Rhinolophus ferrumequinum: one gene and its partners. The protein of the gene in region 2 interacts with the protein of the main gene of each other region in a pairwise test. Links are inferred from orthologs where the notes say so. Each region holds a gene or a part of one and is shown on either strand. Other genes may lie near its edges.

The links.
Region 1: the proteins of KLC1 (region 2) and MAPK8IP3 interact in binary tests that used the Homo sapiens proteins (3 or more experiments, as listed by UniProt). The link is inferred for Rhinolophus ferrumequinum from reciprocal best matches to the Homo sapiens genes KLC1 and MAPK8IP3.
Region 3: the proteins of KLC1 (region 2) and BNIP2 interact in binary tests that used the Homo sapiens proteins (3 or more experiments, as listed by UniProt). The two-hybrid records come from large-scale screens. The link is inferred for Rhinolophus ferrumequinum from reciprocal best matches to the Homo sapiens genes KLC1 and BNIP2.

The regions. Positions count from the first base shown.
Region 1 is NW_022680357.1:3,488,888-3,498,560, reverse strand, and holds the start of MAPK8IP3 (C-Jun-amino-terminal kinase-interacting protein 3), read right to left. Parts: upstream 3,815-9,673; 5' UTR 3,687-3,814; coding exon 3,369-3,686; intron 1-3,368.
Region 2 is NC_046289.1:1,652,340-1,662,157, forward strand, and holds the start of KLC1 (kinesin light chain 1), read right to left. Parts: upstream 4,058-9,818; 5' UTR 3,972-4,057; intron 3,499-3,971; exon of another isoform or gene 3,302-3,498; intron 1-3,301. UniProt on the Homo sapiens protein: Kinesin is a microtubule-associated force-producing protein that may play a role in organelle transport. The light chain may function in coupling of cargo to the heavy chain or in the modulation of its ATPase activity.
Region 3 is NC_046289.1:50,124,724-50,134,791, reverse strand, and holds the start of BNIP2 (BCL2/adenovirus E1B 19 kDa protein-interacting protein 2), read right to left. Parts: upstream 4,182-10,068; 5' UTR 3,907-4,181; intron 1-3,906.

The DNA of each region.
Region 1 (9,673 bases), on a different chromosome or scaffold from region 2:
AACTAGAAAACAACAGTTTGGGGTCAAACTTTCCTCCAGTCATGTGCTTTCCTGACACAGCACCAAATGCCACAGTGTCAGCAAATAACCTACATATATGTCTCTTCAACAACACATCCACTGGAGTTGCTTGTAGTGCGTTGGGTTGGGGACGGGGGGTGTTGCTAGCAGTTTCTTCAGGGCAAAGAAGATTTTAAGGCAAATGATGGCTACTAAAGTCACACCTTGTCTCGCAAACCTTATTTTTCCTTCCGTAAGTTAAGTGCTTGCTCACTGCAAGGAAGAGAGCTCTTTGCAGGCCAGGGAAACAGAGCGCATGGAGCCCTCCGCTTACTTCCCCCGTCAGGTTACCCTGGGCAACTCTACCGAGGGGCATCTATTAGCTCTCCAGCTAGCTCACTCAACTGCCCATTTCCAACCTTCTTTTCTAATGGGAAAGAACTTGGTGGATTTTAAAAGCTTTCAGCATTGCTAAGGCCTCTGTAGAAATGACAGAAGCCAGCTGTAGGTCCAATTACCTCTGCAAGCTTGAGCAGGACTCACCGGTCTCGCTTACCGACAGAACCTGCACCATCAGAGACTGAGACGCCCAGTGCTTGTCCACGAAAGCTGCCCCACAAATCCATTAAGGTGCTCCTCCCTGACTCCACAATTCTCCAGACAAACAACAGGCAGCAGTGGGACCTGGCACTTGAGATGAAAGCGACGTGCCCTGTCTGGCAACCCACTTGCTTTACAGAGGCGGCCACTGCAGCCAGAGAGGGGAAGACCGGCTGGCTGAGCATGCAGCTCCCAAGGGCAGGGCTGGTGGCACTCAAGCCTGCATCTGGGGACTCCAGGGCTTCGGCCCTCTCCCTGGACCCCAGTATCTCTAGCTACCATCACTCCTATGCAATGAGCCATCCCAGGACATAGAAGCCACCCCAGGATCAGAACATACTTGCAATCTCTTGCTGCGGTTTTTACGGGCAAAAGTAGAGGACAGGGTTGTTTGCTCTGCTCAAGCCTTTCAAAAAAAATCTGCAGGTTCTGTCTGCTCACAAGGCTGCTGGCAGCTCAGGTTACCCAGCTCTGACTAAGCCTTCCAGAGCACAGTGGCCGGGACACAGGAGCTACTCTGCAACACGAACATGCCTATAGCTTGTGACGTGCCTGCCAGCTCCTGTGTTATCAGATACATATCTGTGATCTCAATTCAGTGCACACTGGTCCTTTCCACAAAACTAAACATGCATGTCTGCTGGGTTTCATGAACGAGCTAGCGTGCCAAAATGGTGACAGGATGTGGCCCTTTTCTTTAATTATAACATCACTTGAGGTCTTTCCACGGGTGGACATCTAATCACATCTAATCAGAGCCTCGTTGCTGGCTGGCCAAGCATTTGTTTGCTTCATGGAAGCTCTGTGGAGCTGCTCCTAATAGCTCAGGCGACGGTGGGTCTCAGCCTCAGAGGAAGTCTCCTCCAAACCACACGCACCCCGGCACCCCTGCCCCCAGCTCAGTCCAGGGGAGTGTAGGTGGGAGGCCAGACGTACACTCGCTTGTGGCTGCACTTGAACTGCACAGAGCAGAGCAGAGACCGCATCCATGCAGAGCTAATTCTTAAGCTACAAGGTTACAATTCTTAGCCTCAAGAGTGTCCATCTTGGTTTTTCCCTTCTAGTTCCTTCTCATCCACTGTGTACAGACCACATAAGTGCAGATGAAAGAAAACAAACCTACTTGAAACCCCAGGCATCAAATGGCTACCGAAAGTGGTCAGAGAAGTGGAGGGCACTGCCCAACTAGGCAGGCAGCCATAGCCCCATGGGTGGGCGAGGGGAGCCCCAGCCTCCAGTCCTCTGGGGGTGCAGCTCTCTGACCTTCCACAGCAGCATGACACGGAAGGAAGAGCCGAGGCCAGAAGTCAGGGTAGACTGGGTCGTTACCTGGCTCTGCTGGCACGTGGGACCTTGGTCCAGGCCGCCCACCACATTCACGGAGCCAGTTCCTTCCCCAGTAAATGTCTAGGACCACACTGAACTCAAAAATCCTACGAGCTCTTGCATCCCCTTGAGAGCTTTAATTCAGTTTTGTTGGAGCTTGGCACCCCAATCAATAGACAACAGCTTCTTGACAGACACATAAAACCCAAAAGCAAAACAAATCACTCTAAGTAGGAATAATACAAGACCTTGTTAATCTTCATAAACATGCTTTAAACTGGGCTTAAGGCATAAACCACTCTGGTTCAGGAAAAAGGCGAAATACTGAAACAATCTTGGACTTCAGTGCTGAAGTCAAGAATGCATTCAGCCAAACTAACTGCAAAGGAATTTAGCTCATTTAATAAGAAACTTCCTATTCATAAATCAAAGAGCATCACCTAATGCCTGGAATAACAGAATGTCAGAGCTTAGAGAAAATCTAGAGCAAGTGACTCATTCAACTGATGGGAAATCAAAATGCAGAGCGGGCAGAAGACGTGGGCAAGGTCACAGAGGCAAAGCAGGGATGGGAACCCACGTCCCCTGAGTCCCCTTGGGTCTGGCACAGATTTAGTCAGCGCTAAGTATCTGATGATCAACGAACTTAAGTGGTATTCCCTACAATGCACAGTTCCTCTAACGGATTCACAAATAAGTGACTTCCAGGTTATAGAGATATCCTAGAACACAAATATTTCAAAATTCGACTTCCAGCTCCTCAGAAGCCAGACTGGAATTTCTCACCTTTTCCACAGAGAGCTAACAATCTCCCTTCCCAACTGAGGGAACTACAGGGCAAAGAAATCACCTCCAGAAACCTGGAGTCTTTCACCTGGTGCCAGCGGAGCAGCCGAACTAACTGTGGCTTTCGTTATGTGTTTACGCCAATTATCAAGTTGACCCATGTCACACACCTTCAAAACCTTGGAGTGGGGACAAGGAAGAGATCTCCTGACAACAGACCCTCTTCCCGCTGCAGAACCGTAAGATCAGAAATCCCTTTTCGGGGAGGGTTTAGAAATGCAGTAACCAGAGAGAGTAATTGGGGTCTAGGAAACTGGTTTGCAAAATATACACAAACGCAAAAAGAACTGGCGCCTGGAGTGAGAGGTGGGTATCGGAGAGGAGACCGAGGCCTGGCCAGAGGCTCGGGACTTTTTTAGGCTGCCAGTTCTCTGGGTGGCGCCTGGGGGTTCAGGGCTCCGGGCTCCGAGCCCCGGGCTGGAGCACCAGGCGAGGACGGAAAGGGGAGCCGGGCTCCGGGGATTTGGGGGCCGGGCGGGGCGGGGTTCCCGGGCGGGGCCGAGGGCGGGGCGGGGGGGCCCGGGCGGCGCGGGGCGGGGAGTCCGCGGTCCCCGGGCGGGTCCCCGCGCGGGTCCCCGCGCGGCCGGCCCACGCACCTCCTCGGCCTGCTTGCGCAGCGCCTTCTCGCGCTCGTACTGGGTGAGCAGCTGCTCGTTGTCCTCGCGCAGCAGCTCCAGCTCCACCTCATGCTCCTGGTTCTCGCTGAGCACCGAGTCCAGGTTCTCCAGCACGTTGACCACGAGCGGCATGAGCTCCTTGACCACCTCCTCATCGTAGCAGTGGATGAGGCGCTCGAACTCGCGGTAGATGGAGCCGGCCAGGCCCGACACTCGCTCCGACATCACCGAGCCGGAGCAGTAGTCGTCCTGATACACCACCACGCCGCCGCCCTCGTCCATCTGGATCTCCATCATCGCGGCCACCGCCGCCGCCAGCGCGGCTCGCTGTCTGCCGGCGCGTCCGCCCCGGCTGCCCGTCGCCCGCGGCCCGTGGCCTCCGCTGCAGCCGCTGTCGCCTCAGGGCTCAGCCGCCGCCGTTGCTGCTGGTCCTGATGCTGCGCCCGTCACTCAGCGGCCGGAAGTCCCGCCCGCCGGCCAGAGGGGGTGGTGCCCGCCGGTCTCGCCGCGGCCTCGCAGCGCCGCGCCACTAGGGGTCGCAGGGGCCGTGACGTACGAGGAAGGTGGTCTCTGGGCCGGAAGCTCGGCCGAGCCGGGCAGGGTGCACTTCCGGTCAGGCTTGTCCGCGCTGCGAGCCGCTAGCGCCTGTCGCCTTAATCGCGTTCCCCTGCAGCTCCCAGACGCCGGCTCACTTTCAAAGTGACTTAGCATCTGTCCCAAGAGCATCTATAGACGGTTGCGTGCGGTTTAAAGACTTAAACGAGCATCCGTGCACCCATCCTCCCTTACTGAGAAACGGACATTCTTTCTGTGCACCCCTCGAGGTGGTGATGGTGCTGACCTGGTTGATTTCCCTTCAGTTTTACTACACAGTAGTGCACCCTCCACACAGGGAGCACTCCAGCTCTTCAAACAGTGGCTCTACGATTCACTGTCCCTCCAGGGGTTCCTGTCACGTGCAAGCTGTCCGTCTCATCCTAAAATCCAGGAACAAGCTTTCACTTAGTCCGCTTCGATGTCCTGCGTTCTGTGTCACTTCCCTCGATTTCCCAGTTTCACTTCAGCTGTGTGTTAGCTGTTTACCTCATCCACTGAGTTTTAAATTTCAACGGTTGTATGTTACATTTCTATTTGTCCTATTTGATTTTCTGAAAGCATGAACCCAAGACTTCAACTTTCAGCTTGGAGGCCACACTGGTAGTGTGAAATTCTAATTTTTTTTAAAAAAAAGCCCATTAGTGACAGCTTCACGCTAACAGAAATGCTCTCACCCCTGCCTTTCACCTAACAAAATGCTTCGAGGTCAGTTCATCCTAAGATCCTCTCATCCTACTCTGATTGCACCCAGTCAGTGAACTTGCCCTAAACGCTAGCACACACGTTTTCCCCTTACAGCCTAATTTGCTCACCCTAATTTGCTAACTAAAAGGTAAAGTGAAGTTTCAGTCTGATTCAGACTGCCTGGGTTTTGATCCTAGCTACTAAGTACATTAATGATCCTAAATTTCCATTTCCAAACCGTAAAACTGAGCCTAAAAACATTACCAACTTACTCTGAATGTTATAAACTAATCCATGAAAGGGGCTTAGAAACGTCTCTTGCAAACGGGAAGCACGTGATAAATGTTATGTAGAATTGTTCAATATCCTCAAAATGAGCCAGGACAAACAGGTGAAATGTTTTCTTGCTGGTGAGCAAGTTACAGAGAAAGTTTGAGAATGTTTTGAGGAATGTTTAAAGACTTCAGCCTTCGGCCTTTTTCAGCAATTTGACCTCTGGCAGCTGCCAGTACCCCAATGAGAAGCCAACTGAGTTGGCCATCAACTTTATGTTTTTATTACTAACGTGGTTAGACTGATTTGTTCCTTGCGATTGGTTAAATCAAAATGAAGTTTTAAGATGATATGCTGGATAATTGTTGATGCTTACTGTCGTGGCACGGAATTAACCCCTGGTCGTTCGCAAAAGGTGAAAGCAGTCCCAGACTCTACAAAGGAAGTTTTTATTAAAGTTAGTGCAGAGAGAATGCCCATGGCAGTGTCCAAAGATGACAGCTGCCTTGGAAGGAAAGAAACACGGGAGTGGGAGTCGCCGCGACAGAGTCCAGAGTCTTAGAGTAGATAGCTATACCAACCTCAGGTTAGCTTTTTCTATATAGGAAAGGGGGAGTCTGGTAGGTTTTAGGGCTGACATCCTTCCTGGGGCCTAGTCTGTTTGAAGACGATGTTATCTCCGGACTCTGGACTCGAACTCGGCCACTGAGGCCTGACACTTTAATGCGTAACCAGTAAAAACTGCAAGAAGTTGTAAATAGGATTCCAGCGTCCGGGCGCCTGAGGATTAAGAAATTGCTCTTTCCCGGATTAGGATATTCATTTACGAGGTAGGGTAGTCTTCAGCAAGGGAACAGAGTTCTTCAGTTAATCAGTGAGGGGAGAAATGAAAACATGAGTATCGGGATAGCTCAAACTGCAAACTAAGTCTAATTACAGGTGGCTAGATAGCAAGCTATGCAGTGAGTTAAACTACAAACCAGCTAAGTCTAACTGCGTTATTGATTCCCTGAATTTCGCCCTTATACTTACTTTAGAATGCAACTAGAACACTCCCGAGAATTGAAACTAACTGAATTAGAACTTACTTCTTAATAGGCTTCCTTTTAGATTTGTAAAGATAATTTGGAATACAACTTTGTTTTTCTCACTACAAGACTCTAAAATGTAAGATGGGCACACAGGTTTGAAAAGTTCTACTTTGATTTCTAAGCATCTGCCTCTAATCCCTGCTAAAGTCACTGAGGTCCCTGTAATGTCCCTCACTTCTTCCTAATGTTTAATTTTAGATAGCACTTTTTAGTCACACATGAAAGAGGAATATTTCATTCTTAATCTCTAAGAATGCTTCAAGATTAAGAACGTAGTGCGTTCAGAAGAAATGAACTGGGTAACACAGGAGGTATACACACCCTTAAAGGTTTGATTGCCAAAGATAATAGAACAAGCTATGCCCTGTCAAAAGAGCCAGTGTTATTTCTGAACAAGGCACAGGACTTGAAGTGGCAATCACTGATGTGCTTCACCCCCACCCCCACCACAACACAGATGGAACTACCTTAGTCCTTTCAGACTTAGCCATTGCCTCACCTCTGGAGACAAACAGCTTGTGACACTACCTCAGTGCTAACCTGCAGCTGGAGTGGCTGCTACAAATAGGTAATGTAATGCTGCCAGAGCCTAATCCAGTTCTTGGAACAAGCTCTGCACTCCCGAAACATGTTTTCAGATGAACAAATGGAGACTGTGTTGGGAACCTCATGTTGGGTTTCTTTCTGAAGTGCTGTCCTGGTAGTCGGCCCCGATTCAGCAGGCAGAATAGTGGAGCCTCTTATAGGGGAACTCTCCAGGTGGGAAGCCTGAGGTTTCAGCCTCCTGAACCCACATCATATGTACATTATGTTTGCTTGTAGGGCATAGGAAAATAACTGTAAGAAGGAAAGATGTTCAATCTGCTTTCTCTGCAGGGCTTGAACCTACAAGCAAATGCTAATAGCTCAGCACCTCATCTATTTATTACAAGGCTTGTCACTGGAGCATTTCAAAGCCAACTCAGAGGCAAGTTCAATACTTTCAGTTCTTTAAGGGAAAAAGTGGTGGAAGAGAAAAAAAATCTTTAACTTATAGAAACTGTAAAGAACACTTGCATATTCCCGCTCATTCTACTCAAAGCTAAGTCTTTGGTTTTCAAATGAAAAAAATCTAAGTCTATAGTCTTTGAGATTAATTTGGGCATCCTCTGGCTAAATGGGGGAAGAAAAAAAAGGCAAACCCCTTCATCAATGAAGGAGCAGAGGTCAGGCACTCTGGAGAATAGATGTTGAGGAAAGCGCAGGTACACACACACTAGGCAAAGATGCTGAGTACCTGATTGCTAAGTTTTATTCAACTGTTATACCCAATTCCACCTTGTAAAAGTAACAAAGTCTTCCTATCAAAATTACATTGTGAGGTGAGTACAGCTTTCTTGTTGTTTTTGATACAGCCCTAGAAAAAAAGTTGGCACCAAATGCACATAAAAAGTTTTTCAGGCTTAATAAAAATACAGACTGGTAATTTCTCAATGCGGCTTAGAGGTTGGGAGCAGGATGCTAAAAGTTAACAAATCTTCCAAATACAGGTGACCACCCCTACCGGGGCTCATGTGAGCACAAACTTGTCTTCTGCCTCTCACGGTGACCAGACCACCCAGGCACTCTAAACGCACTGCTGCAGCCCCAGGAAGGAAAAGGGGGGGAAGATGGGGAGAAACAGAAGGCAGGGAATTGTCACTGCTGCCCAGAGGCTCTTCCTATAGCGCGTTTCCCTCACTCCACCAGGCCTCTCTTCCCATCGCTGCATTCCCCCATCTCCACCCCAGAAATCGCTGCCAGTGGACACAACTAGAGTCTCTCATTCCGCCGACAGTGAGGGTCGGGGTGAAACCCCAAGGGCCAGCACCAGTGTCAGGATTCTTTCTGGCAACCCAATTTGGAATCCACAAATCACTCTCTTGTATTAAAAAATAAGAGTTATAAATTGCAGTTCATTTCCACCATTGGAACATTTCATTATAAGTTAAACTAGTGTGTTTGCGCTTAAAAGCTCACTGCCATTTATGACATTTTGAAATGGGGGAACAAATACTCCGAATTCCAAACAATATTCTTATAAACGACCATTTGAAGGATGGAGACAGGAAGTACTTGACAAAGTCACATGGAGTGAGTGTTTCTTGGCTCCAAAGACAGCAGGGCAACTGAAAGGAGGGAAGACTCTTTGGTTGACAAAGCCACATGCGGATGCCCTCAAGAAGTGGGGCTGTAAGAAGTGGGGCTTGGCAGGCGGCTCGTGCAGGCACTTAAGTGTGTCGCCCGGCCACTGTGAATGTAACTGAACAGTTGTTGCTTTTCTCAATTTTAATAACGACGAAGACAGTTCTAGCACCTGGCATTATTAGCTCTGTAGGCACTTTTAACAGCCACCACCACACGAGTGAATAGACTAGCCCTTAGGAGGCTGAAAGGGGGAAACGTCTGCCTGACAGATTAAAGCAACACGACTCTTGCCAACCCATTATCTTTTTTTTGGGCAAATATGGAATTGGCCAGTTGAGGTTTTGCAGCCAAACTAGTTATTCTCCTGGCCTAAGGTCTCTAAGTCTCTCCTGGAAACTGTGAATGTGGTCCAGAGGTTCTGCAAAGCTTTATAAAGGGCGGCCTCAGCAAACTTTTCTTCTTTGGTGTACATGAGTGACTGGCTTTTTTTTAGAAAGGTGTCAGAAACAGACCAAAGTCAATAGTCCCTTCTGTAAAGCCGGTGTTTTAGAATAGCTCTTTAGGTATTATTAAAGAATTCACACCTACGAACCCAAGGCTCTCAAGCATCTTTTCCCCAATGTCAACAGGAACAAAGTAAGACAAATGAAGGACTGAAATAACCCTATTACCTGGATGTACCTGGGCCTTGCAGATAAAGGAACCGTCCATATTATTGCTGAACAGCACAGGCCAAGACTTAAAAAGGACGAGAGGAAAAAAGGAACCATTCACAATCAAAACCGGTCTGTGAAGAGACCAAGTCCAGTCCCTGCGAGTGAAAGTCAGATTCCTATCAGAGGATCGGGGGATGAACTCTCCCTATAAAGCATAAGACTGAGAACTTTTTGGGTTTTGTTGACAGCTGTCAAGGAAAAGCAATGAAGATGTTTCGAGAAAACACTGCAGAACACACTGGGGCTGAGTGAAAAAAAGGCCTCGGGGTTTAGCAGCGGTAGTCCCAGGAACGGGGAGGTATCTGTGACAGGTAAACAGCATTAGGAACTGAGGGGGGATTGATCCAGAGACACCCCGTTAGTAATTCAGCTTATGCCTAACGTACAGGTTGTTTCTGGCTTAATTTCCAAGGCTTTTAATTAGGCTACTGTGTTAAGATTCCCAGACACCCAATTGGCTGGCGGATCGCCAGTGCAACAAGGACGTGGAAGATCCCCCCACTTGATCAGGACCCCCCATGGCCTTGCACCAGCTCCCCACCTGGCCTTCGTAGAGTTCCTCTCACATCCAGAATTACAAATGAGCACTCATCAGGGAGTCACATTTTATCCCCAAAGATGTGTCTCCCAGCAGTCTGGAAGGCGAGGTCCTCTGCGGCTCCCATGGTGGCACTGAGCCTGAGCAGGGGCTTCAGACACACGACAGACCCTGTCCCCACCCCCCCGTGTTCCTTTGGGCTAAAAGAAACTCTAGTAT
Region 2 (9,818 bases):
CAGGTAAGATCCCAAGTATATTCAAAAGCACAGATCCAAATTGCTTTCATCTGCCTCCAAAAATTAGTTAAAAATAAAATCCTAAACCTAATTTTTGATCTAACAGTGTAGGAACCAAGAGGCTACAGGGCAGAATGACACAGATGCACTGGAGAAAGAATGCAGGTCATCTCTGAATCAGCCCTTCCTTCCTTAAGAAGTAATGGTCTCAAGAAAAATGTAGGGCGTGAATAACCTCCTGGAAGCCAAATCCACTACATTATTCTCTCCAACTCTTCCTTAACCTCTTGGCCACTTTGAGACTGACCTACTCCTCTTCCCTCATTTCCCAGGGCTCATTCGTTGTCTCTACCAGTCAGAAGCCCTTTAGGAGAGGGTGACAGACCATGGGACTGGCTAGCGACTGACAGTATGATGAGGTCTCTCAAATCTTTGCCTGCAAGCCTAAGTCTTGGTCTTGAGGGCCTGATCTGCCTCTCCAGCTGCCCACCTGCACGTTTTGGATAGATTTACCCAACCCAAAACCAAGCTTGAGTGTCCTCCTCCTCCTCCCAGGCTCCCCATCTTGGTGGGTGTCACCAGCCAGTGAGTCACCATATTAGAGAAGAGCAAGTCATTCCAGATGCATTCCTTCAATACACATTTATTAAGTGCTTTCATGCCAAGCACCAAGAATGAATACGATCCGTAAACACCCCACCCTCGTGGAGATTATGGAGGTAAGTGGAGGAGACAGACAATAAACTAAATAAGAAAAGAACAAAAGAAAATTATGCATGTAATAGGTCGTGAGAAGGGCTAAGGACCACGTGGGGAAGCGTGGACACACCGATAACCCGAGGAGCAGACGGGATGAGCAGGGAGACGAGGGAGAGACGGGCGGGGGTGCTTCTCGGACATTGGCAAAAACTTCAGCAGGGCGTCATGACCCCACTCAGGTTTAGCAGTTTGCTCTGGCTGCCAACGCTACCCATCACTCTCTTCCCCCTGCAGCCCCACCCTTCCATCTACCCAGCCCCAAATCAAGGGCACTAATCCATCTGTTCTGGTCCTACTGGCACTACCCTAACTCAGAAGCTCTCCGTCCTCACTTGGGGTTAATGCTTTCCTAGCTAGTCTCCTCTCAGTTCAAAGCACCTGCCGCACCACCCGGCTCTTTCCGAAACGCCACGGGACTCCTTACGAGAATCCCCCGTCCTCCTTCCTCCGCGCAGGACGCAGGGACGCCCCAGGCAAACTCTCACAGCCTTTCCGATCTCCTCTTCCCCCTCTCCCCCCACCCAGCAGGCCCCTCCACGCAGCACCACCGTCCTCCGGAGCCACTACTTCCAACCCCACCCGTCATTTGGCCAATTTGTATTTTTCTTCCCATCTCACATTCGGAATCTGTCCTCAGGGCACTCGGCACCAGCTAACCTAACCTGCGGCATTCCTCCACTTCCGGCCTCCCTCCACACTGTGAGCTCCTAAAGGAGCGACTGTCTCTATCTCCATATCACCAGCTACTAATTAGCACATCACCTGCCATTCAGTTGGGTCTCTACAGACCATGTTTAAGACCATGTTTTCACAATCTTAATATGCTAACCATCTGACATTTAACACTTTCCTGTACTTTCATTTACGATGTTACTAACACTTCTTTATTACATAAAGTTCCGGTTTCTTACCATATTCCGCGTGTTTTCCGATTATACAAATCCTACATTTTATTGAACCTTTTACTTTTCTATTTCTGGTATTCTTTGTACACCATTATTTTGAGACAGTTTATAGCCCCACATGAAAAGCTACATATTGACTTACCTGTTTTTCACATATGAAACACGCTTAAGAACGTACAATTTTTAAGTCACCGTGGGCAAGGTTTTATTTACTGTGGCATAGTGAAGATATTACGTGCCCCTCCCCACCCCCCCAGTGGCATTTCCTTGCTGGAGACAATCACTGTCCTGACTCCCATGCTTATCCTTTTCCCTTTACCAGGTCCACGGTGCTTTGGGAAGACACTGCCAGGCAAGGGGAGGTCACCGGCCAGGGTCTTCCACAGCCCTGGGGAACACAGGGCAAAGGGCGCCAGGCCCACTGCAACATGAGGCTGCACTTAGACGGTGGCAGGAACCGGCTCTTCAGAGCACCTGCCCTCCCACGTGTACTAGTTCCCCACAATCTGAAATTTGCAATGCTTAGTATCATTGTATTCTTAGATACTTAGGACTCAGAACAATGAATCAATTTTCCCACTCCGACCTTGTTGCCAGTCCCTGAAATAGGTAAATCCAGAACTGTAATAAGATTGTGAGACTTGAGGATGTCGTTCCAATTTCCCGATGGGTTTCTCACTGAACTGTTACAATGTATTTTGAGGTAATGACTCTGATCGATGGCTAAAGGAAAAAGCCCTGGGTCCGTGCAGAGAGTCAAAGAACCAACTGCCCTTTTACACAACATTTTAAAAGGTTTATGTCAAATTTTCTGTTGTTCACACACTTTTAAAAAATGACTTTTGCAAGTACTCCTTATCAAACGCTTAATATGTAGTCTTAATGAGCTGTTTGAAGAACGAAACAGCAATAAGCAACACCACAAAATTTCTAAGAAAACTACCTGGATCTACAAAGTTCAAGTTATGAGGCCATGCAATCCACCAGGCGTTAATTTTACCTTTTTAATGCTTTATTTTAATATTTTTAAGGAAAGAGCTGCACCAAATCTGACCACCGCCTAACTATTCCAGGACCGGGCTACTGCAAGTTTAGCAGGAGCCCCGCGGGCCCGGGTGAACACCGTGGATGAACCGTTTCGCGTCTGCCTAGTGAACGCAAGGGTCGCGGAGCAGGAGAGGTTCCGCCGGCCTCTCCGGGGAACCCCGCACGCCTCCTACCCGCCGGGTCGCGCGTCGCCCGCGAGCTTGACAGGCGCGTCCGCCCAGGGCGGCGCCGCCGGAGAGGGCGGCGGCCGGAAGGAAGAGGGAGGATTCGGACAAAGCGAAGCCCAGCGGGCGCCCCTCCCGGCGCCCCCGCTCCGCCGCGCCGCGTTCCCGGGGGCGGCCACAGCCCCCCGCGCGGCTCCGGAGCCGCAGCTGTTCCCGGAACGGCCACCACGCCCGCAGCGGGGCCGAGCCAGGGATGCTGGGGCGGGGCTGCGGGACCTCAGAGGGATGGGGACGAGGCGGACCCGGGCCTGGAGGGACGGCGGCTGGGGACGGGGATGGAAAGGAATGCACGCGGACGGGGACGGGGCCCGCGGCGGAAAGCGGCCCGAGGGGACACGGCTGAGGCCCGAGGCCCGCCGCACTCACCGTGCTGCTCCCGCGGGCCGCGCGCTCGCGCTGTCAGCACCGGAGGCCACGGGCGCGTGCGCGGACCGGGAGAGCGCGGGGTGCGCTGCCTCGGCCGCCTCAGGCGCGGCGCCGCGGTCACGAGCGAGGGGCGCCGGCGCTGCCGCCCCGCAGCATCCTCGGCCGCCCGCGCGCGCTGTCCCCTCGGCTCCCTCGCGCAGCAGCCGTCCCGCGCCCCGCCGGCTCTGGCCCCGCCGCCGAAAATGGCGTCTCGGCGTCCCTCCCCCAGCTCGCGCCCCGCCCCACAATGCCGCGCGCCGCCGTGACGTCACCCGGCCCGCCGCCGCGGGTGGGCAGAGGGGCGAGGCGCCGGTCGGTGGCGGCCTCCCCTCGAGGGGGAAGGACTGCGGCGGGAGCACGGGCCGGCCCTGCCTCCCCTGCGCGGCCGCTCCCGCTCTCACAGCTCGGGAATAACGTGCGCTGTGTGCCGAGCCCTGTCTTCACGCGTCCTGTGCCCCTTTGAGTCTTTCCAGAACGCCGGGAGGGCTTCCTCCCGCCCTCTAAGGAAGGATCCCGAGGGGCTCGGCAAAGCCCAGGGGCCCCTCTCCCTCCTCCAAGAGCCTGGCCCCCCAGAATCAAAGCTCTGCGGACTTCCCAGGCCCTCCCCTCAGCACGAGGGCATGAACTGCACCTCAGGCGGGTAGGAGGGGAAGGGACGGCCGCCTGACCGCTGGTGCCTGGCCGAGCAGAGATGCCACCCACTGCTGTCCCACCCGACAGCAGCCATCGCCAGTGGCCACGACCTCCCGCCCGGCCTGAAGGGCAGTGCTTCCAGGTCAGAGAGCGCTGCCGGGCCTCATCCTGCTGCCGCCAGCTCTGCAGGCCTGACTCAGCAGCCAGCCAGGGGGACGTGCTGATTCAGTGGGCAGGGCTCAGCTTTCTTTGGCTGCCCCAGCTTGGGAGAACCCCCTCCTCCAGGTGCCTGCCGAGGTCTTCAGTGCAGGGCCCCACGGCATTATTAACCAGAGGGGTTCCTGAGCCAGTCCGCCACCCCCGACTTCCTTTTGAACGACTGTCCTCTTCAGATGTTATCACCCCGCACCCGCAGCAGGTTTAACCCTGCCATTACGCAGTGACCGGGAAGTAAGCACCGGGAGGTCCAGTTACTTTGCTTTCATTTAAAAATGCAAAGGTCTGCGAAAAAGGGAAGCTCTGCGGTGACACAGCGTTACTGGGCCCAGGGAGAGGCAGTGAATCAGAGTCAGCCCCTCCACACTCCCTTAGTGATCCCGCCACACCCCAGTTTGGATGTCACCTGCTCCCCACAACCACCTGGAGGCTGCGCACAGCAGCTGTCACCAAAGTGCTCTGGGGAAGAGCAGAGCGGGCTGCACGAGGCTCCTTTCTGCCTCTGTGACTCTGGGCTCAGCAACTGTCCCCAAGCTATTAAATTGGTGCAAAAGTAATTGCGGTTTTTGCAAATTCTTCTTTAACCTTTTTAACCACAGTTGTACTTTTGCACCCATGGGTGGCCAAGAGTCTACCTCACTAATATTGCTTTAGCCCACGCCGTCTGTCCCCATTGCTGCCACTCTATTTAGGCTTTATCTGGCTCTCTTATCCTCTCAACAAGTATTTATTTGTTGAGCTGCAGTGGTCCCCACGCTAAGAGCCAAGATTCGTTGGTAAACGGGCTAGTGAGATTCCTGCTCCTGCAGTGCCATGCAGAGAATGAAGGTAAGATGAAGTGACAGACGAGGCCAGGTGGACAGGGTGTGAACTGACAGCACTCCAGACACAACTCTCCAGGCAGGGGTGAGTCTGGAGAATTGGGGGAAACAAAGGCCAATTCATCCACTCTCTTCCGCCCCTCCGGGACCTGGAAACGCTGCCGTGTACCCATCCCCAGGTCTCACAGAGTCTAGCAAACGCCCACTCCAGCCGCCCGCCCGTGCTGCCCTGTGTGTCCTCAGTCACTTTCAGTCCTCTGATACTCACAGCAGCTCCAACAGCGGCACCACCATCCCCATTTCACAGATGCTGCCACTGAGGCCCTGCAAGTGCCAGGCTGCTTCCTGAGTCCCAGAGAGGGATCAACTCAGCTTTAGGTATCAAAATGCAGCATGGGTCAGGTGCTGAGGGGGAAGCTGTCGTCCCTCAGGGATCAGAGGACTCATGGAAGAGGGACAATCACACGGCAGGTGGGAGGGACCTGGGTAGGAAGTGCAGGAAGAAAAGCGCAGTGCCCCCACAAGGACGGAACAAACCACAGTCTCATTCGTCTCAAGTGGCAAGTGGAGGGATGCTGTCACTTGTTTAAAGCAGTCACCTTTTTACTGTCAATGTCCGTGGATGCGTTAGGGGCAGCCCTGTGGGAGACAAGGATGCTGGAATTTCCCTTGCATGCCGGGGGTGGGGGGTGGGGGGAGTGGTCTGCAGTCCAGTGGGTGGCCCCAGTCATGAGTTCCTGAAGAAGAGGGGAGGGGGGGAAGGGGAAAAGCAAGGGGGAGGAGGAAGGGAGGAGAGAAGCTAGGTCTGGTGCCTGCAGAACGCTTGCCCCTCCCAAACCCTCTCCCTCCCCCAGCCTGGGCACTGACCGGCCTGCCAAGGCTCACCAATGAGTGGCAGCTGCTCTGGGCCCAGAGAGGAGCCTGGCTTTAGGGCCAGTCTGGGCTCCTCCTGCCTCGCTCTGCACTGCAAGTCATGCCCTGTTTGGTATCTTGCTTCAGTTCTGAAAATGGCATTTATCAGAGGTCCAGGGTGAGCTGCCATCATTAAGCTCCACTGACTGCTCCCTCAGACAAAGGGGAAACAGCACCCCTCTGAGGTGGAAGAGGGGGGATGAGGAAGTGGGAGAGCTCCAGGGAGAAGCCCAGCCCTCCCTGTCTCTCTCACACATTTCTAGCTGCAGGGAATTGAGGCCTGGGTCCTGCTTGGTGAAGCTGGGCTCCAGCAGGACTGGCCAGAGTCCCCTGCATTCCTGCCTAGCCCCGCCCACAGGCCCACTGGGCCAGCCTGATCCCCAGACACAGCTGGGGCAGGCTGTCCAGTTCCAGGCTTCAACTGTAAGAGGGCCTGGAAGCTTTCCCTTTTGTGCTTCTGGGACCCCTGAGCTGCCATGTAAGAAGGCCAGCTCCTTGATGGAGAGCCCCGCCTTCCAGTGTCCCCTGGGGGCACCAGGCCTGAAGGAAGCCATCTTGAAGGGTCCAGCCCAGGTCACAGAGCCATCTGTGGACCCAGGATGTCTCCAGATGAGGACTGAGCTCAAGGGCAGGCAGGGAGGGACTGCAGTCTCTGCTGTAAAAAGAGCCATCTGGCTGTGTGTGTGTTTTGTACATTTAACACGGCGTGTTGAGCTCCAAATGTGGCCCTGGACCAGAGCCAGCTGCTAGGGATGGTACTACTCCCAGTGCCCAGGAGAATATTTCTTACTTCACGTCCTTGCAAGGAACCATGACATGTGTTAGAAAAAGTGCAGAGACTGGACCTGTTCCTGCGGTTATCTAAGCAGGGTGTGCCAGGAGCGGGGTGGGGGGGGGGGTGACAGCATCTGTGACTGAAACCATGTCAGTGTGGCTTGATAAACACTATGATGGAGATAAACAATGGGACCTGGGGGCCAGGTCTCAGGGACATGTCAGGGAAATCTGGTCTTCTGCATTGGAGATTTCCTCCCCCTCAATATTTTATTATGAAAACATTCAAACATACAGAAAAAAGTTGTGCAGTGAACACCCATGTACCCCCCTGAGACTCTGCAATGAATATTTTGCCCTATTTGCTTTATCACTTGTCTCTCCATTTCTCCAACCCTTTTTCTATCCACGAATCCATCTTTTTCTTTTCTCTACTTTTCTTTTCTTTTGGATGCATTTCAGAGTAAGTTGCAAACATCAGTCAGGTATCCCCAACCCTCCCCAGGGTACAATGAACTTACTTGCATCCAGTGCAGCAGGCGGGAGGTGAGAGAGGGTGAGAGTCAGCAAGGGGGCAGGGAATGAGGAGCCAGGGCAAGGAGAGTGTGAAACCAGGAGTGGGGAAGGGGACTTAAAGTGGCTGCATCAGATGCCATTTGAATGGACAGCTGGATGCATGGATGGATGGGAAGCTCCCAAGTAACCCCTCGTGGTGGGGTGGGGGGGGAGGTGTGTGTGCGGGCAGGTTGGTGGTAGGTGGCCAGGGGCATTTGTGCAGGAGTGGGGAGGGCATGCATGCATGCAGGGTCCTCACCATCAGCAATCGCCTGGCAGTGCAGGAGCCCCACTCTGGACCCTGCTCCAGCACATTGGGGACTCCAGGCTGCAGAGGGAGATTAGATGGGGGCGGGGGGTCACAACTCAGGTGGGCTGCTCAGACCCCATCATAGGGCTATGTTCCTGCCCCCATTACCCCCCATATACTGAAGCTCTGCACACACGTCACCCTTTCACCCCTAAACACTTTTAGCATGCGTATCACTAACGGAGTTGAGTATTTGTTTCTAGGGAAAACGTACGCAATGTGAAATGCACAGTTAGGCTACCATGGATGAGTCCTGACAAACACTTCCCCTTGTGTAACTACACCCCTGCAGCACGCTGGGCCCTGTGGCCACAGCACGTTGGCCACCCCTGATTCTCACCTGAGCCAGCCAATCCCAGAAGGGGGTGGACTTGTTCAAGGACAAGCTATGGGGCACCTGAGAACAGCAGATGGAGAGCTTCTTCCGGTTTTTACACAAAAATAGCCACGCAGGTGCCAGGTCTGTCCCACAGCAGCACAGGTTTCTCCTGGCCCCCGGCTGCAAGCCCCTCTATGGACAGGAGCCTGTCTGACGCCTGACCTCACGTCCCCAGGAGCTCCCTCCACAGAGCGTGACCTCCTCCGGCCTCCTACCACTTTCTCCAAGGTTGTTGGCTCCATCCAGTCAGGCCAGACTCCTGTCACAACTGCTCTGAGCCTTTGGGGGCACAGACCCCCCTTAATTCCTGTGGTATCTTCTGCCCCTCCTTGTTCCCACAGACCCCAAACCTGACTCAGGTTCTTGAATATGGTGGTTCTCAGTCAACGGAGGCTAAACTGAATGAATGAGTGAATGAATGAGGGAGGAAACCGTGGACACCCAGCTGCTGGATTTCACAGGTCCAGAAGGAATTCTGGTCTTCATCCGCCTACCCCTCCTAATTCTGCCTGCAGTGCCCGAACACTCCTGGATCCTGCCATGGTGGGGGCTCCATGTCCTGGGGCCTTCTTACCTTTGCCTCTGGCTGGCATGCTCAGACCTCAGCCTGGCTCCCTGTGTACCATGTTTCTCCAAAAATAAGACCTAACTGGAAAATAAGCCCTAGCATGATTTTTCAGGATGACATCCCCTGAACATAAGCCCTAATGCGTCTTTTGGAGCAAAAATTAAGACCCGATCTTATTTTTGGGGAAACACCGGTAGGAGCAGAAATGCCTGCTTGGTTCCACATATCACATCTTTGTACCTCATTGTCTAGAAGAAAGAGCCTCTCACCTCCCACCGTCAGTAAACTCCCCGGCTTCACTGGGCTTCTATCTCTCAGGTCACAAGCCCGCTTAGATCCCACCCTGGCCAGGAGAAGGCCTCTCGAAGCTCGGCTTAGCTGACTGTGGGGGGGGGCACCCTGGGAATATGCACAGCATGATGGGGGATGGGAATGGAGGTGGGGGCAGCCCCAGACCTCTCTACAGGTGCCTTTCTAAGCTCACCTGGCCCTGTTCCCTTGGGCATCACCCCCGGGGGTGGAGGTGGGAGGGACTTCCACACCAAAGCTGGGGTGGCTCACCCAAACCAGCCTGGGCCCCACATCCCACTTCTGAACTGGCTTCCTCTTTCCTCCCCCAGTCCCCAGCTGCCAGACACACCTGTCTGTGTAAAGTGCAGTTGTGGACACTGTTCATGCTTGTTTTCTCTCTCAGATTTCTTAATCTCCATATGATCTGGTGGATTCACAATCATGTTTGGGACAAGAGGGTCACTTCCGCCGGAATCGCCTCTGTGTTGGCCCAGCCAGGACCACACGACTCCAAAAATGCCCAGGAAAAGGAGGACCTGTTAGCAGGAGTCCCGCCGAAGGTGGGCTTATAGGGTCCCCCTAGGAGCAGCTGACACCCAGCCGATGGGGCAGCCTCTGTGCCTGTCACCTGTGCAGGGGGAAGGCCAGGCCCGTGACCAGGCAGATCTGGCTGCCTGCCTGCAGGAAGGGCCCTCAGCCCTGCACATGTTCAGAACCCTGGGACAAACTCTCAAATGTGCCAGGTTCTGCTCAGCTCCGAAGGTTGGAATGGAAAAGGAGGCAGACCTGACTAAGGAAATGCACAAATGGAAATGTCGTCAAAAAGGGCCAGAATGGAAAACCCCAACCTTCAGGATATCTGGGTGAGCCCACCTCGGATAGCCTGGGGAGCTCCACCTACGCTGTGCCCTTAGTCTCTACCTACTTTCAGCACCTGTAATCCTGTCTGCACAGAAACTCGGTGACCACAGGCAACCCTTGTCCCACGTGTTAGCACAAAGCACCTCACACCCATTTCC
Region 3 (10,068 bases), about 48 Mb from region 2:
CTGTAAATATTAGTTAAATGAATACATATTTAATCGTAAGGCATGACACTAGATAGCAAGCCTTTCTTTTGCTCAATTTATTAGGCTTATTTTTGTTATTAAACTATATAAAGAGGCTTCCTGTTGTGTTTTACCCCTCAAAGAGTGTACTGAAAATATCTGGGGCAACCTACACACATGCAGTATCAATTTATGTTGGTACAAGTATTCCTTGTTTGCAAGAGAAAATATGTATCGTGAAATTCTAGAAGACAAACCATGTCTTTTAGCTGCTTTACCACTTGAACAAGTCCATCAGCAGAAAACAGCCTCTCTAAACACAGATAGCCCAAGTACTTCATTCAGCTCTCTCAGCCGATTCATTCAATTTTTATTTTAGTATCATACTGACATGTGATGTTAATACCCCACAGCATATAAACATGGATATTTAGTTTGGGGATAAATAAATAAGCTAGTTAAATGGAACCTAGGAGGAGAGATAAAGAGACTCACTTTTGACCATTTCGTCATGAACTTTAGGGGGAAAAGTACATTGGGTAGATAAAAACAGTTCAAATAATTGAGAGAGTACTGTTCTTGGAAACACTTTATCATCAGCAACTGTAAGAACAGGAAACAAACAAGAAAGGAGCAATATAAGCACAACTACTTTGAAGGAAATCAGGATACTGCTGACACAAGTTAACTGTGGCTGTTTCCCATTTTTTTGTTCATAGACTTTGGAAATTAGAATGCGGAAATAATACTTTGCAATGCTATTTGTTAAAATAACCTAATGCAACAGGAATAACCTGATTTCTCAATAGACTTGTGGCAGTTGTGGCACGTTATTACTGATGTCAGGTATAAGTGGAGGTCACAGATAAAAATTCAGACTCACGTCAGTGAGGTTAAAAATCAAGGAGATAATGGATTTCCTCTTGACACACCTTCAGAAGGCAGGTGTAGTGATAAATTCAACCAAGAAGGGGTTTTCCCCATGCAGCTTAGCAATATAAGCAAAAATTAAACATTAAGATCATATTTAAAAATGTCTGAATTATAATTTCACATGGTAGTTTTACTATGTAGTTTAACACTACTGCTGGAATAGGTAACCACATCTATGCTGAAATCAATTACAACTGGCAGAAGGAAATGCCCAGGCAAGGCTTTCACTGCCCCATTTAAGTGAAAGGGACTTATCCTAAATATTTATGTTCACTTTTTTCTATGAGACTGGCAACACGGGTAGCACCACAGGAAAATAATTTAGGCCATCCTATGTATTTATGAAGATCACCAAAACACCCCTGGAAAAAAATTCTACATGCTTTCTTGAGAGCAAGGTTACGTAGGTTTTTAAGAATGAAATGACACAATGTCACCTTACAATAGCCATCAAAAGGACAAGAAATAACAAATGCTAGTGAGGATGTGGAGAAAAAGGAACCTTCCTGCACTGGTGGTGGGAATGTAAATTGGTGCAGCCACTATGGAAAACAGTTTCAAAGTTCCTCAAAAAATTAAAAATAGAACTACCACATGATCCCTGTAATTCCACTTCTGGGTATTTATCCAAAGGAAATGAAATCACTATTTTGAAAAGATACATGCACCCCATGTTTATTGCAGCATTATTTACAATAGCCAAGATATGGAAGCCACCTAAGCGTCCATCAGTGAATGAATGGTTAAAGAAAATGTGGTGTGTGTACAGACACACACACACACACATACACACACAAAGTGAAGTAAGTCAGACAGAGAAAGACAAATACTCTATGATCTCACTTATATATGGAATCTACAAAAAACCACAAAACTGAGCTCATAGATACAGAGAACATATTGGTGGATGATAGAGGCGGGGGGCAAACCGAGTGAAGGGGGTGAAAAGGTACCAATTTCCAGTTATTGTAAGTCCTGGAGATGTAATGTACAGCATGGTGACTATAGTTAATAATATTGTATTACATATTTGAACATTGCTAACATACAGCGTTGCTAAGATACAGGTCTTAAAAGTTTTCATCACAAGAAAAAAATTTTTTGTAACTATGTGTGGTGATGTCATTTCATATTTCATAATATATACAAATCTCGAATCATGTTGTACAGCTGAAACTAATAAAATGCTGCATGTCAATTATACCTCAATTTAAAAAATGAAATGAGATACTCTATCAGAAATGTTCAGACAAAATTCAAGAAAAATTACAATCGTGCTGACTTTTCTCAAAATTGTGAAAATAAAGCAAAGTATAATTATGCCACCTATAAAAGGTACATTTATTAACAGTAAGAACATACTGGAGATGCTCTGAGACCTTTAAAATGATTTAAGTCTAATAACTGATCTCTGACACTTTGTTGCAGAGTTACAAATATTATAATTTTGTAATATCGTCATATTATACTAGTATTCTGCTTTACATAAGCTTAACAAAATACCTTTTGATCCACTGTCAACCACGGTTAGTTTATTAGATCTGGCTAAATATACTACTTTTCTTAAATGCCTTCCTTCTCACTTCTTTTTACCAGCATTACTTCAGATGAAATGAAGAGAACTGCTTTCCCAAAGGATGCTTTTCATGTTTACTAACCATTTGTACATTCATCATCTCCGATGTACCAACCAATAATTTTATGAAGTATAAAACACTGGTGTTATTATCCTCATTTTATCTTATATATGAGGCAAATAACACTATATCCTGGTTCCCAGACCTAGACTGTTTCTAACACAGCACAGTATCTCCAGTTCACTGGCAACTTTATACAGAATAAGCCTGTAATGCCAGATTTGGTTACACTTAGCTTCAAAGCTGTAATGCCTACAGGTGATCTAGTTCAAGTTCTATGTTTGCAGAAGCGGACCTGTCATACTTCCTGTCTAAGCCCAACAATATTAGACTGCAACAGAGATTATGAAGACCAAGAATAGTTTAGAGAAAACGTAAAATGACAACTAAGGAGAAGATGTGTAAGATCATCAAGAAAACAGTCTGTAAGGTAACTAAATTGGGTAACTTCAGTTACAATTTTGAGGAATCGTACTCATTTACAAAACGAACACGTTTAATTTTAAAAAATTTAAAAAAAATTAAGCATTAGGAGAAATAGAGATCCTAATCAAAAACGATGAGGATGAAAAACCACTAAAATGCACCCACACTTCAACTACCTATATGGAAGGCGCTATGACTACCTAGATGAACATGACAAAAGCTATGCCCTCAAAGAACTCCCGGGACAGACAGACAAGGGAAGTTTCAAAGCAACGTAACAGACCCAAATAAAGTTTTCATTTAACATGAGCTGGGCTAATAGATCTCCAGTGGCATCAGATGCATCCAGGAAACCCAAATCATTTTTGCCCGTTATTTTGGCAAAAGGTAGTGCCTGAATCAACGCAGGAACCCGGCTTTTTCGCGTAAGAGATCTATAAAAGCCCTGATTACAAAAGCCGTTTCCGTGTTTTATTCTGAGGGTACGAGGCACATCAGAAGTCCAACCTCCTTTGTTCTACACCAAGACGGACGCCGGTCATAACAGGGGACCAACGTGGCCCAGTCACCGCACCCAGACCGGGTATGTGCGGGGGGGCCGAGAAGCGGGCAGGTTCCATTCCAAGCAAAACCACCACAAACGGAAAAGGGGGTGGATGGATAGGCGGGGGGGGGGGGGGGGGGACAAGGATGGTAAATGCAAACAGGAGCCGAGCCAAGGGCGGGGGCCTAAGCAGGGCGGGGATCCGGGAAGCGTCTCCCGGGCAGGTTCTATGGCGCCCCCTACAAAGGATAATCCTCTGGGCTTCCTTTCTCCCGCCGACCGCGGACACGAGACCCTCAGACGCCCGCCCCCAGGCCTGTTCCCCGCCCAGACCCGCTGTACCCAGTTTTCCCGAGCTGCACTCACCCCGGAGGAAGCCTTGGCCCCCTCGTCTTCTTCGCCCCTCCAGGCCTGCGACGTGGGGCTGACGGCCAGGTCGCAGAAAGTAGTAGCGCCGAGCGGAGCCCGCTCCCCTCGGACGGCAGTGGAGACCCGGGCCCGGTATCCCGATCACAGCTGCAACGGTAGCGGCGGCGGAGCAGCTGACCCGGATGCAGACAGCTGCCCGGGAGGAAGTGACTGCATCCCCACCGCCTACAGGCGCAGCAGCCGGCGGGGGCGGGGGCGTGGCGTCTCCTTGAAGCCCGACAGTCCCTCCCCCCCCAGCCGTCGCGGACCGCCGCCTGCGCATGCGCCTGAGCGGCCGCCCGAAATTCCCGCTTGACTGGCGGGAGCAGTTGACGCCTTCTTGGCGGCGCCTCTGACGCTGCAGGCGCTTCCTTGATCTGTGCTGACGCTCCCAGCGTCTCAAAGAGCGATTTTAATATTATTTATGTTGGCTTTATTGATTGCTACAATAACTGTATATTATAAAATGGATGAAATGAGGGGAGGAAAAATAGCTGAGGTCTCATTTTGGGGAACGAGACCTCAGAAGAATCCAGACTTTGGTAAAACTCGAGGGTGCACAACTTTGCTCTGCAATAGTGCTTCTCAAACTATATGTAGGCTGGAGCGATCGATTTATTGTTTAATAAAATTTTCAATGAGTCATGGACCATGGTTTGGTAAGATAGAAACATTAGAAACATTTTATCCTTAGAGTCTGTAGTCATCAAATTACCTGTAAAATTGTCATCAAGATTTCTAAATGCTAACTCAATTTCTGTACTGTTCTTACCGTAGACCAGTAACTAACAGTTCTCTGAAAGGCCCAAGTGTATGGATCATACTTTGAGCAGCAACCCTGCTCTACAACTTCAAGGAAATAAGATGACTTTGGAGAATATCATGATCCATCAGAAATCTCACCCACTAAATCCCTTCAAAGGAGCAGCAGTCAACTATTTGCATAAGGCATTCGGGAATGGGGCCTGAGAGGAACTGAAAACCTCAAAAATTTAAATCATTGACCCACAATGCAGCTCCCAGGTTTAATTGCTTTAACATTTACTCACTGTTGGCAGGTGGTTAAACTCTCTGTGTTTCATCTATAAAACAGGAAAAAAATAATATCTCATAGGGTTTTTGTGAGAGTCATATACATTAGATCAGTACTTGTCATATTGTAATCATAGATAATTATTATCTGCCTCCTAGAAATTTTGTTAAATAGCAGAGAAAACAAACAAAACTAATCAATTGATAAACAGCTTTCACTGAACAACTTCTTGGGCCTGTTCCTGTAAGCAATTTCACCTACAATTACAGATATTTCATAGTTGCATATTGTGCTTATTTCAGTCCTGCAATGGGTAGTATTCTCCACAGGGTGGCAGAAAATCATTGCAAATCATATACAGTGTAATCTTCAGTTTCTCATTTCAGAAACTTTATTGTTTAATAAGTTCGATCAGTGTTTGCTTTGGTTTTGAGTAAGCCATTCTGTTTGTCTTTTTATCCCCATCTCATGAATTATCTATACTTATTGTTGAAGCATTAGAAACTACAGATGAGGCAAAAAAGGTAACAGTATTAATATATTTATGTATATCGTTTCAGGATATACATAAATGTATTAATTTATATTAAATTAAAATAATTTGTATCTAACAGTTTAGGATCTAATTTTTTCTTTTCATTTCAAAATATACACTTTTTTCAGGTCAATAAGTATATTTCAACATCATTTTTAATATGGATAATTTATGTACTAACAATTACTTATAGAACATTTAGGTTGCTCCATTTTTTATAGTTAAAAGTTACACTTTATAGAATGTTTAAAAAGTCAGAAACAGAACTAATATTTTCAAACAATATACTAGTTAACATTTTCAAATAATATGCTCAATATATTTTCCTTCAACTTTTAGGTGAAATACCTTAAACGATAGGTCCAATTGTTAATCTGAAAAAGGTAGAAAAAGGATACTATTTACCCTGTGTTTCCAGATTTTTGGATAATCTTTACTGTATCTTTATAATCATTTGTTTTTTATATGTGCCTCCTTGAATAGGCAGACTTGAATACTTAGACTTAAAAATTCGGAAAATAATTCAGGAGGAAGAAGTGTGGCTTTCAGTCCCTGAGTAGAGGCATCAGTTGGAAAGTAATACATTAGCTCAGAGCCACCATCAACCTTATCCTTTGTGGTTTATGGCTTTGGTGTTATGTTTAAATCGGCCCTCCTCACCCTAAAATTATACAAGTAGTCATAGTTGTTTATAGTTCCATCTTTAAAAAAATATGAACACTAAATCCAACTGGAATTGTGTATAAATGCTTATTACATGAGGTAGGGAATCTGATTTTACTAAACTGATGACACAGTTTGCCTAACATCATTTATTGAATAATCCAGTAGTTCTTGAACTCATGGAGGTCTGCATCAAATGAATGTTTACCTTCAAAGTTGCTGTCTTAGGTCACCCACTTCATTCAAGTATCCATTCACAAACCTTTTGACAGACTTTTGCATCCATTCACAAGTCATCATTGGACAAACCTTTATTGAATAATATTGTGAGTCAATACCTTTCAGCTCTGATGTCACAAATAAAAACGTCACAATATCTACCTTCAAGGAACTCAGTGACTCGTCAGGAAGAGGGGCAAATGAAGACAGTGAACGATTTGGTGGATTGAGGTGAACTTGACACTTTAACTGGCAGTTAAATAGAAGGGAGCAAAATAGATTGGGGGTAGGTGGGAGGTGGGGTCAGTAAAGGAAGACTTTCTGAAGGAGGTGATCTTGAGCTTAACTTTTTCACTGCATTCATTGATTTCAAGTTTTTTTTTCAAAATGTGTCAAAAATCCACAAAAAATAAAAAGTCGATATTTTGACTATTTTATGCATTTAATAACATTTTGAGCTGCTTTGTACATAAACGACATTTTCATTTTAAACCTTTGTAATATGGTAATAAATTTACCATTGAATTTTAGCAAAAAATACTAAGTGGCATCAATTAAAGTATAGATAAATTAGAATCTAATGGCATTGATGACATAAAAAAATCTATTGCAATTACAATCTATTACAAAAATTTATTCTGTTAAACAATGTGGCATACAAAACATCTTTGTTGTTGATAGTGCAAGCCACAGGAAAATATCCAAACGTCACAGCAAAAGAGTTTACTAATAAGAGGAGGATCTTCCAAGCAAAGGCACTGACATGTACAAATACACAGTGGCTGCTAGGAACTGCCTTCTTCTTCCTGCCTGGAGCACAAGCAGTGGGACAATGAGTGGGTGTGAAAAACCAGCCACAAAAATAAGTAGCCGAAGGCCAGATTGAAAAAAGGATTATTTTAATGCCAAGGATTTATTCGGAGCCATTAAAATGAGCAACATGGGAAAGCAATCAATTATTACTTTATAATTGTGCTCCCAAAGAAGAGATTGAAACATGTCTTGTACAATGACAACATTATTAGGATAAGTCCTAAGAGAACAACTTTGACGGAACACTCATTTGAATATATGCTTTAGTGCGTGTGCTAAAATCACTCATGTTACTTTGTCATACTTCATACATCAAAACAAAAGCGTTCAGCCAAAATAGATCTGAAGAGGTGCTGAGTCTGTGCCTGCTCCCCATCCCACCCCAACTTGGACCAGAGGTATGATGAGAGATGAAGAAGACATTTGAGACAACACTAAGAAAATGCTTGCATAAATTCAAGTTCCAGAAGTCATAATGTACATTAGATAAAACTCTTGAATGCTGCTATACTCTTCACTGTATAATTTTATAGACAGATTATTATTTTTGCTTATGAGCATACAAATTCAGTGACGTTTGGCAGCTCAATTTCTGAAAAAATACGAAGTATCCTTTTTACATGGGCTGATGATGTCTTTGCTGGTTGAGCTTGAGGGTAAAACTGGATATAATTATATATTCATTTAATTATTCATAACTTGAATATGAGATGAACGTGTATATATTTTTCACTTATTCACTTTATAAAATTCAAAACTAAACCCAGCAGCAGTTTTGTCTTTGGCATGGTGACAAGTTTCTTTTCTACAATGAACAGGTAAAAGAAATGGTTCCAGACAGAATTTATTTTATGTGCTTCCCTATTTCAGAAAATCTAATTGGACTGCACTCAACTATTACACATCACTGTTGTGTGATGCTTCCACATTCCACAGAGTACACAGAGGGAAGCAGCAGCACATATTTGTACTGTGTTTCCCCCAAAATAAGACCGGGTCTTATATTAATTTTTGCTCCAAAAGACGCATTAGGGCTTATGTTCAGGGGATGTCATCCTGAAAAATCATGCTAGGGCTTATTTTCCAATTAGGTCTTATTTTCGGGGAAACACAGTAAGAAATATTTCCAGATGCAGTTAGATTATGGCCATTTAAGGGGAAAACTAGGCTTATTTGCTGGAGAATTTTAGTTCACAGGACTTGAAGGATTCAACTTGTTCAGGGAAATAGCTAGGCCATGGGTTGAAATCGTGTGAGAGCAACAGTTCAGATCTAGACACAGTCGTGAGGATGAGATGTACATTTTATCCAACACAAATTAGGAAAGACTAGTACTACCTTAGATCACTCATCAAAACTAATAGGATAAACAAATCTTAGGGTCCATATTCAAGTCCTCTGTGAAGATGTGTCTGTAATATCATAAAAGAAATGACAAATATGAATTTAAAACTACCTGAGGATATACATTTTATAATATAAAAGCATGAAATTTAGCAAAATCACACCAACGATTAGATTGGAGATCATGGTTATCATTTGGATAGAAGATGATGGACAGAGTTCCATTTACCCTGAAGAGGGGTCTTTGCAAAAATAATCGCTTATTAATTAATGTTTTGCAAAAGTACTGAGACATAAGTGGCTTATTACTAAATAAGCCAATTACTTATTACAATCACCATAATTGGCATATTACTAAAATAAAGATTAATTTTGAAGAGGGAAGTCGATTTCTCTCTTCTCCTTTAAGATATGAATTGTTGGTAGAAGTATATCCATCTATATTTAGAAACATACAAACAAGTAATAGCCTCCAATTAGAAAAAAGCAGAGTTTGATTGATTGATTGATGATGATTTTTACCAGTGATAATACTTTTTAAATTCTTTCTGAGCTGGATAAATAAAAGTGAGAATTGATCAACTAAGGTAAACTCTTCTGCAATCAATTATAGTCTCTACATCAATTAACACAAAATCAGATATAACACTGCCATTCACCAAAGCATTAATCATTTATTCTGCATCTTTAGAGTCAAAGCATAATTTTATTTGTTTCAAGAAAACAAATGCATTTAAAAATACACAAACAACTGTTGAGTCAATAGGGAATTTTATTCTATTTTACAAACAAGGTGCTAACATGGTTCTATGTGAGGCAAATGTATTTTTAATTAATAAAAATATAAAAATTAAAAGGTGATTATCATATATGTGTATTACATGTATATTATATGTGTGTGCGTTGTATGTATATTGCACATATATGTGTATTTTATGTATATTATACATATATGTATAATATATGTACACATATATGTAAAATTGTGAGATTGCCATTCCACCTGACAATGACCTTACCCAGGCATTATTTTAAAAACTTACAAAATTTTATCTTTTGTGTGTAGTGGGATATGAGAGAGTGTGGGGGTGAATTTGAATCAATAAGATGACTAATGCCTGAAATTACATTATTAGTCTTTCCTTAATTAGCTTATGACATTGATTCATGTTTAAATGCAATTCTTTTTCATAGAAGGGTTTAACACATAAACCTTATGCTAAAATGGAAGACTGGGGACTGGATTGGGATTAGGAGAGGCATTCTATTCCTTATTCTGCTATAGTTTCTGTGACCTTGGACAAGTTACCCATCTTCCCCAGACCTTCAGTTTCCTTGTCAGTAATTTATGAGGTACCAAAGACTCATTTTACTTAATTTAGCTTTTTGCCTAAAGCCGGGCTTATCATCTCCTTTTCTTAAATTTTAGGAATTCACTAAAATGTTATGTGGATGTTTAAGTACAAACGTCTGAAAATTACACGTTACATAATACTGTTTATCTTTTTTTTAA